3 linked regions of the Nothobranchius furzeri genome follow. The protein of the gene in region 3 interacts with the protein of the main gene of each other region in a biochemical or structural test. Links are inferred from orthologs where the notes say so. Each region holds a gene or a part of one and is shown on either strand. Other genes may lie near its edges.

Evidence for each region.
Region 1: of the proteins of nedd4l (region 3) and ndfip2, one has a biochemical effect on the other in vitro, tested with the Homo sapiens proteins (2 studies listed by BioGRID, with this or other methods). The link is inferred for Nothobranchius furzeri from reciprocal best matches to the Homo sapiens genes NEDD4L and NDFIP2.
Region 2: of the proteins of nedd4l (region 3) and sgk1, one has a biochemical effect on the other in vitro, tested with the Homo sapiens proteins (5 studies listed by BioGRID). The link is inferred for Nothobranchius furzeri from reciprocal best matches to the Homo sapiens genes NEDD4L and SGK1.

What each region holds. Positions count from the first base shown.
Region 1 is NC_091754.1:54,373,664-54,377,786, forward strand, and holds the start of ndfip2 (NEDD4 family-interacting protein 2), read right to left. Parts: upstream 2,872-4,123; 5' UTR 2,722-2,871; coding exon 2,695-2,721; intron 1-2,694. UniProt on the Homo sapiens protein: Activates HECT domain-containing E3 ubiquitin-protein ligases, including ITCH, NEDD4, NEDD4L, SMURF2, WWP1 and WWP2, and consequently modulates the stability of their targets. As a result, may control many cellular processes.
Region 2 is NC_091742.1:622,897-625,300, reverse strand, and holds part of sgk1 (serine/threonine-protein kinase Sgk1), read right to left. Parts: exon of another isoform or gene 2,108-2,404; coding exon of another isoform or gene 2,008-2,107; intron 1,909-2,007; coding exon 1,833-1,908; intron 1,624-1,832; coding exon 1,548-1,623; intron 1,452-1,547; coding exon 1,263-1,451; intron 1,170-1,262; coding exon 1,038-1,169; intron 529-1,037; coding exon 292-528; intron 220-291; coding exon 124-219; intron 48-123; coding exon 1-47. UniProt on the Homo sapiens protein: Serine/threonine-protein kinase which is involved in the regulation of a wide variety of ion channels, membrane transporters, cellular enzymes, transcription factors, neuronal excitability, cell growth, proliferation, survival, migration and apoptosis.
Region 3 is NC_091746.1:58,541,465-58,545,118, reverse strand, and holds part of nedd4l (E3 ubiquitin-protein ligase NEDD4-like), read right to left. Parts: intron 668-3,654; coding exon 572-667; intron 470-571; coding exon 396-469; intron 318-395; coding exon 257-317; intron 120-256; coding exon 60-119; intron 1-59. UniProt on the Homo sapiens protein: E3 ubiquitin-protein ligase that mediates the polyubiquitination of lysine and cysteine residues on target proteins and is thereby implicated in the regulation of various signaling pathways including autophagy, innate immunity or DNA repair.

The sequences.
Region 1 (4,123 bases), on a different chromosome or scaffold from region 3:
CAGACCTGCTGAGCTCCAACGGAGCATGGCTAGACCAACCTGCAGAGCAAAACCCTTTAGCTACCGATACGGTTTGTCTAGACTTCTAGGCCGCTGGATGCTTGTAAAATATGAGAAGATAATTTAAATATTGCTCTTTTTTAGGATCAATTATGCTGCTATTGTGATTATTTAGGGCTGAAGTGGAACTAAAACCTTTATCAACGTCACGTCTCTAGCTTAGAATTGATTTTTGGAAGATGCATTAACTCATTCACTGCTATTGACGACTAAAGTCGTCATTTGCATTTTTTTACTGTTTGAGCATCGGAACGAGCCCCCGCGCTGAGAGAACAAACATCTCAGCCCTGAAGCCGTTCTTCATCCACATGCGTCACACGTCACGTGATCAGGAAGCAGAACATCCATGTATTAGGAGATCGTTTTGGGCCGTTCCTGTAAAAAAAGTGAGGCGCGAACCGGAAAAGCGTCTGCCGATCACAAGTCGACAACGGATTATGAAAGAACGGATAACGCTCGAAACACACGGCTTCTTCCTGATGTAAGAGGTGAGTCTCCTCTTAGTTTTGGCATCGACATCATCCTAGCGCGCAACGTTCCGTGACTCTTAAAAACACAGTAAAAACGGTGAGAAACGCTGGCATCGAAGGCTACTAGCGATCAGGAAACGGCTGGCAGTGAATGAGTTAACAGTAAAGCTAATCTGCGCATAATCCAAGTGTCCTGGTTAAGTGAAAAGTGAGGTCAACAGCTGATAAATTACTGCTAATGTAAAAAAAAAAAAGGTCTGAATTATCACAGGATTGCTCCAATAAATAAATAAATACAGGAGTACTGGCAGCGTTTGACGCGTTAGGACACCAGAGGCCACGTTGGTACGTCTCTGGAAAAGCAATCTGCATAAACGCAATCACCAAATGAAGCGTTCCGCCAAATCCAAGAGGCCCAGCTGCAAAGTTAGGCCCATTTTTCCTTCTAAGAGTCAAGAGCCGTTTGAAATTACAGAGGAGCGATGGGACATGATGGGTAGAGTGCCTGGAATGAACTCTGGGAGGGTGAAGCGAGGGAACAAGTCCTTCTCACCTTCAGAAGAAAAACATCTACAGGCAAGTCTGTACTCTCACGTGTCAACAAAGCTGAGACGAGCTGACTCAATGGGACATTTTTGTTTCTTTTACCCAACAATCTGAGCATGAGACTGTGGTTTCACAGTTTCTAAGCTCTAAATTCGCTTCGAGGCCGAATCAGACGTCACCCAAAACCACAGATAACCACGTAGCGCTATTCGTAAACCAAAGATAAGCCAGGAAGGAGCCCTGAGAGAACATCAAAATCACAATCTTTAACATTTTCTTCGTCTGAATAAAAATAACGCAGGTTGGTAAACTTTTCCACCTCGTTTCTTGAGGGAGTTCAGCTTGTTTGTAGCCTTAAATCAAATTCCTGGGTGAGTAGGGAGGCAGCTGCCACTAAACAATTGCAAAAAAAATAGCAACAACAAAAGTCAGAGTTTTGGAAAAACAAATCTTCTTGCATAGTCCTGTCCTGATGTAGACTTTAAAAAATAAGGATCGTGAAAAAATGTTCTGCATGAAGAAAGGGCAATTTTCTTTCAACTCTAAACAAGGGAAGCACCCTTAGTCCTAACCAAGGATGTGACTAATACCTGGAGAAGCTTCAGAGATGTGTTTGTCATGATAAAGTTGAGAATTTGCTTTCCGGCGGTGAGTGGACGAGTGGCTCTGAACCAAGGACGGATCAGTGCATGAAGCGTTACATAACAAGCTAACAACGCCGCCACAAACCGCCTTCTGTGTCCAAATACCCCCCCCCCCCCCCCCCCCCCAAGCCCTCAGAAAGCTGAGAGGAGGCGGTCAAGACCCTGGCCACCTAATTCCTGGAAGCTGGTGTGTTGTTGAGCTACCCTGCGGGATAATCAACAGAAAAAAAAACAACCACAAGCAGAAAAAAACTGACTTTATATTAAATGTCACCGTTTAAAAATAACTGATACGTATTTGTTTGAGCTAAACCACACCTGATATTCAAGTACCTTTTTTTTAAATTGTACTGCAATTAAAATCTACAAAGTAAACAGACACTTTAAAAACACGCCTATCGTTTCCGCTCCGGGACTTTTCTACAAAACAGGTAAACAAAACTGTTTCTGTGTTTAAAAAGAACGAAAGCATGGAATTAGAAAGACACATCAAGAACACACCTAAGATGTTCCGGGACTTTTCTTTTTTATATATATAACGGAAGCAACTTCAAAAAGTCCCTTCTATGCTAAAACACGTGCTATCAGGCTTATCTAATATTGTCATAAATTGTGAAAAGGACTGTTTAATGTCCCTTAAACTTTGTAAAACTATTTTGGAAATAAATTGTTTAAAAAAACACATCTTTTCAAACGTGTAAGGCCGTGCCGGCTAATGTTAGCTTAGCCAATGCGGAAGTAGTTTGTCACATATCAAAACAAAAGACTTAAGCTATTTGTTAAACATAAAAAACGACTAGAGTAATTAGGTAGAGGGTTTTGGAGAGTATTTATGTGTAAATAAAATAAGTTGGAGTTAAACAACTAAAGCGCAAATATTTTTTTATGTTTCTAAAACAAGGCCCGTTTTGGTTCAAGCAGAAGGCCGAGTAATCCACCACTGTTTTGATCCCTGCTCTTCGGGATTTACTCACCACTTGGTATCGGCTTGCTGGGTCCATCCCGACTAGATTCAGCCGGCAAACAAGCCAGGCCAGAAAACAAAAATACGAGCCTGACTTGTGAATGCACTCGGAGTTCTCAGTCACGGAAAGATTTGATTCCACAAAGGAGGAGAAACACGGCGACAGAAATGGCTGCTGACCCGATGAGCTCGCTGAGGAAAATAGACAAGCCAACGTTGAGCAACAGTCAACCAGGCTGGGAGGGGGGGGGGGGGGGGGGGGGGGGGGGGGGCGCTTCCGATCTGACATTTCAAAGTAAAACACTTTCCCAACGTTTTCCGTTAAATGCAACAAAACACACGGGGTAAAGAATGCTTAAGAATATATCAAAGTGCATTAAAATTAACACATTTATGGTGACATAAACAAAATAAAAAGCTGCACAGAGCCACTTGCACTTCGTGGTTGGAGTAAAAAAACAAGATTGCTACAATTTTTAACAAATACTAAAGTCAGCGATTATGATATGCTACAATATGATATGATAGAATAGAATGGAATAGAATAGAATAGAATAGAATAGTAGTCACTATGCCCTAAAGCACAATGGGTGTTCACTGAGGCATCATATTCTATTTAAGCAAGACAAATAAACCCTGTTTTAAAAAGGCAAATAATGTCATTGAAAATATTATTTAGGTTTTTTTTTTTTTTTTTTTACATTTCATGATCACTTCAAAATAATTATTTTTAATGTTTGTTTCTTGTCACTTTGGGAACGCCGTTTTTGTTCTGTCTGAGCATCTTGCTCCTTCCACGCACACCCCATTGGTTAGCTGCCATGCAATCTTTAAACACGCTATATAAATAAAAATAGAATGGTATAGTATGGTATTTTGATTAATAAAAATATTCGAGATAACTAATCCCTGGGGTTTCACAACTGACACCCCTGCACCCACCTGGGTACCATTGGTGTGTTAAAAATCTCATGATTCCGCATTTTTAGCTTTGCATTAATCCATGATGTTATAATTTCTTGAATTCTAATTGACTATATTTTATTAGATTGATAAATCACAATAATCCTTTATTTTACTAGATTTACTTAAACTTGATTTGAATTTTATTGGGGGTTTTTTCTGTAAAGCACTGTGATCATTGTGCTTGTTGGCTATACAAATGAAACTCAGCTTAATTAATATATTTTAAAACGTAACAATTTTACAAAAGCAGTACTCAACTGTGAATTACCAAATTTGTTCTATAGCATTACACATTATTATGAAAATGGGATTGCTTTATCCTGAAAAATTTTAATGGACATACTTCATTGTTATTATTATTATTGTTGTTGTTGTTGTTGTTGTTAATAATAATATTAATAAATATAAAATTTTAAGTACTTTAATTTGAAATGATAATTCTTTCATTTCCGATTTAGAGTCTGATGCTTTGT
Region 2 (2,404 bases), on a different chromosome or scaffold from region 3:
AGTATGTTGTCGTACATCTCAGCTGTGTTGCGGCTGTAGAACGGAGGCTGTCGAGGGGCAAAAAGAACCAGTAAGCAACTTAGCAATCACATGAATATGTTAAATGCATGACGCGTGGCTTACCAGACCATAGAGCATCTCGTATAGAACAGCTCCTAAGCACCACCAGTCTACTGTCCTGTCGTATGGCTGCTTGTGTAGCACCTCAGGAGCTAAATACTGGAGAAATACAACGTAGGTTATAAAAGAGCCTCAAAGCACGACACTTGTGAATAAATATGCTCTCCTTACCTCTGGTGTACCGCAGAAAGTTGACGTGGTCCCATTGGGTTCGATATTCTCCTTACAAAGCCCAAAATCGGTGAGAATGATGTGTCCCTGTGAGTCCAGCAGGATGTTCTCTGGCTTCAGGTCTCTGTAGACGATGTTGAGGGAGTGCAGGTATCCCAGTGCACTTGCGATTTCTGCAGAGTAAAACCTGGCTCTGGGCTCCAGGAAGCAGCGCTCTCTCTGCAGGTGGTAGAACAGCTGCAAAACAGAAAAACACATCATGAAAAACCTGCAGAGAATAGCCTGCTGCTGGGAAATTAGGTGTCAAAAGAAGAAGAGCAGTGGTAGGAAAATACTAAGAGAAAAAAGTAGAGGAAACAAGATGGGAGGAAATAAAAAAGGCAGGAAGGCGACAGCTTTAAAAGTTTCACAAGACAGATGACACTAGGGCCGGGGGGGCGAGAGAAGAAAGAGAGTAAATGTGCCCTGCTTCCTGATGAAGTCCATATTTAATCATCAGTGTCTTTCCTCGTGCAACAATCACAGGAAATTAGCTCGATTAGAAGCAAAATTTGGCCGCCGAGTTTCTCCGGCTGTCCCAGCCCAACCTCTCATTTCCTGAGCTAGTTTCCTTTAGTTTATAAAAAAATACAGAAAGGGACAACTTCTATTCTGCCTCAGATAACAGGATTTCCCCATCTATCTCATCTGTGATAAGATTTAGTTTAAAAGAGCCTTTTCTGTGTCTCGGCGTGTCCTCTGCTCACCTCTCCCCCGTTGATGTAGTCCAAGACAAAATAGAGTTTGTCTGCTGTCTGGAACGAGTAGTGCAGGCCCACCAAAAACGGGTGCTTGACATTTTTCAGGAGCACATTCCTCTCTGACATGATGTGCTTTTCCTGAAAAGAAAAGAGTGCAAAGGTCAGAGACGTTTATACAAACAGGCTTTGTGACGCGACGGAACCCGTGTGCGTGAGTGTTTTACGTTGTACCTCCTTCTTCTTCAGAATGGCCTTTTTCTGTAACACTTTGACGGCGTAAAACTGGTCGTCGGAGCGGTGACGCGCGAGCAGCACCTTGCCGAAGCTGCCTTTTCCAATCACTTTCAGGAAGTGGAAGTCGCTGGGTTTGGCGGAGGGGTTGGAAGACGGGCCAAGGTTGATCTGTTGGGATGGACTGGGCTGCAGGAGGAACGCGGAGCAAAGAAAAGTTAGTGAAGCACATCCAGAGGACGCATCTGTGCATCCCTGCAAATATAATTATATATAATTACTTACAGGAGGAGAAGGGTTTGCATTCATCAGCTCTGCTTCTTGAGGAGGACTCAAGTTCAGAATAGACTGAACTTCAGGGCTGCAAGAAAAACAGAAACAAAAAGTAGTTTGTGATATGGCGAAAGAAAACAATCCTCTGTTGTTTAGCAGATGAATCAGCTGATCTAGGACTCCGGTTGAGTCACAAAATGTCCTCAGAAGACAAATCCCTCGCATTCCAGCTTGTGTTTTTCAACGATTTGACCGAATGTGGAGGCAGAACAATAACATGACTCAGATGGTACTCACTGCTTGCAGGCGTAGGAGTTGGTGGCGAGCCTCTGAATGAAGTCGTTCAGACCCATCCTCCTCTGCTTCATAAAAGCTGCAAAAACACAAACAAAAACAGGAGAAATTAAGATCAAAATGCCAAAAATGAAAGGGCAGGATGCTCCAAACAATAAAAAAAATTAAATCAAAGTACCAGTGAGTAATTCCACAAGGCCTTTAGTTTTAGAGTAAGTCAAGACAGGCTTTTCTGTTTCTGTGTTGACCGTCATGGCGAGCTCAGCTGCAGCTCTCATCAGCTGCTCAAGCCCAGAATCTAACCTTTTACTTTCAGCTCCTGGTTTATAAGCAGAAACCGGGAGGGAGGAGCTGCTGATACCCACTTTCTGGTGGGCGGGACACTAAGGTGGTGACCTCCTCACCAATCAGCGTCCGCTGCGCTCCCTCTGCGTCACAGCCGCGCCTCAGAGCGCTTGCGTCAGAGAACCGGGCAAAATAAGAGGGGAGGACAAAAATTTGGCATGTCTGAGCAATTCCGTGACAGCTGTACTGTTCTTTCTTCCATTAATGCAAATATTTGATTATTATTATTG
Region 3 (3,654 bases):
GGATTTAATAATAAAAAAAGCCTCCACTTTACTTTTTATTTAAAGGTACGTGTCCATACCTCCAGCTCATTTTCATCAAAGATCTTGATCAAATCGATGGGAATGAGTTCTGTGAAGCCCTGAAAATAAAATGATTAATAAAATGATTAAAGTTGTAAATCAGTTAAATAAACATAAGGGTAAGGTTTGGAAACCAAGGTTAGTCTGTGGTTACATCGCCCCCATGTGGTAACTTTTAATCACTACACATAAATACCTCTAAGAAGGCATTCATCTGCTTCTGGACCCGGTTGACGAATCTCCACTGGATGACCAGGCTGACAGAAAAGATAAATGACAACGGTTTGACAAATATTCCTAAAGAAGAAAAGAGAGGAGGAAGAAGAAAGCCTTACTCTATGTATTCCTTCTTGTTCTCATTGGTGACCACCATGTCTGAGCCGCTGGGCTTCAGGTCCACCTGATAAGTCTGCAGACCAAAGCAGAAATGATGAAGGTCAACAAACTCCTGATGCTAAAGCAATTGATGAGGTCTAGGCTGCGTAAATTAACCAATGTAAGGCCAGCACACCTGTCCAAAGTTGTCCTCGTCAATACAAAACCTCAGGTCAAGCTCTGTGGGATCGTTCTCCAGAATCCACTTCAGTGAGTTATAGTATTCACTGTCCTGCAGGGACAAACAAAGAGCTGTAAGTTTTTGTTTTATTTTGTTAAATTTTAGGCCTTATATAAAGCCCAAGTCTCCTTCCTTTCTGGTCGGCTCATGGGTCCCCCGGAAGATCAAAAAAATGAACACAAGTCAACGGGGCTAAAAGTGTTATTTTCTAATCTGCTTCGTCTTACGCCCTGGATCGCACATGTTGTACTGCAGTTTCAATGAAAAGTAAGGATTGGTATTTCGACCATGCCAGTCACGTACTTTGAGATTTGTTAGCTTGTAAGCATGACTACAAACTAGAAATCGCACGTCGCATATTTGACGTCACCACATCATCTCCTCTCCCCTAACGTAGCTGCTGCTTACTACATGGCCAGATTTATGGTGGTTCATTCCTCCTGTGGGAAGTTTGCTGAACTTACAGCGCTTTCCCCTCCGTTTTCTCCGTGTCTGGTTCGATGACGTCGCTTTCGTAAAGCGCATTTGTAGTCCTGGACTTATTTTCACACCAAACCTAAAATATCGTACCCCCTGTTCGAAAATAAGCATTTTCTTGGTAACAAAATGTGTGTAAAAATTTCACGGACATCATATGTGAAATCCATGGCACATGACAAGCGAATTAGAAAATAGCGTTTTTTAGCCCCATTGACTTGCATTCATTCTTTCGTTCTTCCGGGGGCCCACGGTCTGGAAGTAGATGGGCGTGACTTAGGCTCCCTATTCTTGGAACACTAAAGTTTTAAAACAGAAGAAAAAAAAACCAAATATGAAAATAAAAACATGAAGCTCTTCTGAGTTTTAACATCTTAAGGAAACATTTGTCAATAAAAAGTATGTTTCTGTGTATATTTATAAATAACTATCTTTCCAGCGTGAACATCGACGCGACCTACACTCGTTTGGTTGAGCTGACGGATGAACGGACTGATAGTGTCCTGGGTATAAATATTTTTTGACCAACAGTGGATCCTTTTACTTCCTGGCTTATTTAGTGTCAATCAACTTGTGTTAGCATTAGCTCAGTGTTAGCGCAAGCTACGGCAGTGTTGTTTATGACGGCTGTGATTCTGCTTTCAACCAGTAGGAGGAAGAAGTGGGAAAGTTATTAAAATGATGGTGTGTATTTCCCTGTCAATAAAGGGCAGGACATACCTAAATCATTGCAAGCAAGCGTTATTTTTGTGTTTGGGTAAGACCTTACCGACGGAGGGCCATTAGGGTCAATAATCCTGGGAGCGCAATTTTCGAACGAATTTTGTCAGATCGTTCAACCTCAAGCAAGCACATCAGACTCCCTGTAGGAGCCATATGTGTCATTTCTTTTTGTGCACTTGAGAGGAGGCTTGGCCTAATATTATTGGTTAATTGCTTGTGGAAGCACCAGCCTACTTAAGCCAACACAGATTGGACTCAGGGGTGGCTGGATGGGACAAACAGTTTTTTACTGTGTGGCGAGGACTGTGGCTGGGTGTAACGGACTCTGCGGATTGTCACTGGGGCAAGTAACGCATGCACTGAAACCCACTTTAACTGCTGTAAATGGATCATCATGGACATTTTGGAACCAGACAAAATAATAAACATCATCGGAAATAAACTCAAGCTGCATTTCTTAAAGCGCACGTAAAGACCACCCGCAACAGCTACCAGGTAGTGCCAGTGTATAGGGCACTGGCGCTACACTTCAAGGTAAAAAACTGTCCCGTCGGCGAAGGAAGTTTAGCGTCCTCTGCAATCAAGGCAGCAGAGACGTAATTGGATCAGCTGTTTCCTGATCACTGGAGGAACCGCGCATTTCAACGGCGCGTCTGGAAGAAGCACGGAGCGTCGAGCTGTCATTGGGACAGAAGGCGTTTCTGCGTGGGATCTGGCTGTCCTTCCCTCATCGTAGAACGAGCAGCACATCAGCAGACAGCGGCGGGCGTTCTGTCATTGGGGCAGAGGTGTCTTCGTTGGATCAGCTGTGCGGCCTCGTCACTGAAGGGTCAGCGCGCGTCAGAGAGCGGTGCGCATCTGAAGATCGTCGCTGGAGCGGCGGGCGGCAGACCAGCGCACATCAAGGAAGCAGCTCAGCGCAAAAGGTGTGGCACGCGGCGGAAGAAAGGCGGGCGTTCTGCCACTGGGGCAGACGTTTCAGCGTTGGATCCGCTGAGCGACCTCATCGCTGGAGCGGCGGCACGCAGCGGAAGGAGCAGCGAACTCCCTGCCACTGGGGCAGGCGTCTGGCAACCTCATCGCTGGAGCAGCGGTGCGAGACAGAAAGAGCGACTCGCAGCGGAGCACCGCTCATCAGAGGGGCGGCGGGCATCCTGTCATTGGGGCAGGAGACTTCAGCGTTGGATCCACTGAGCGACCTCAACGCTGGAGCGACGGCGCGCAGCGGAAGGAGCAGCAAGCGTCCTGCCACCGGGGCAGGCGTCTGGCAACTTCATCGCTGGAGCAGCAGCGCGCAGTGGAAGGAGTAGCTCATCGCTGAAGAGGAGGTGCGCATCGAAGGAGCGTCATCGCATTGGAGGAGCAACAGTGCGGTAAAAGTACATTGAAGCACAAGAGGTAACCTCGAACACTGGGCTTAGCCATTAAAGAATAAAGACAGTGACTTGTGAAGGTGAAATTTCTTAAGGGTTTTGTTTGGACAAAGGTTTAAGACATTCCACTTGTCATGGCAGAAGAGGAAAATGTTGGTGTTGAGCTCCAAGGGGAACAGAACTTTGCTTTGGAGTATAGATCAGCTGAGAAAAGGGAAGTTAAATTAACAGCCAAAGCTTTGGTCATGAAGATTGGTAACTTAGAAGAAGAAAGGAAGAAAAAGCTAAATAAGCTTAGCAAACTAAGACAAAACATCAACTTACTGAAAAATGAACGGTGTTTAAATGAAGCTGATTCTGAGTATAAAAAGTTCTTGAGTTTGCATGACGAGACATTAGAGACTCATAACAAGTTGATAACCTTATTACCTGCAGAAGAAGCACAAAAGCATGAAACATGGTACC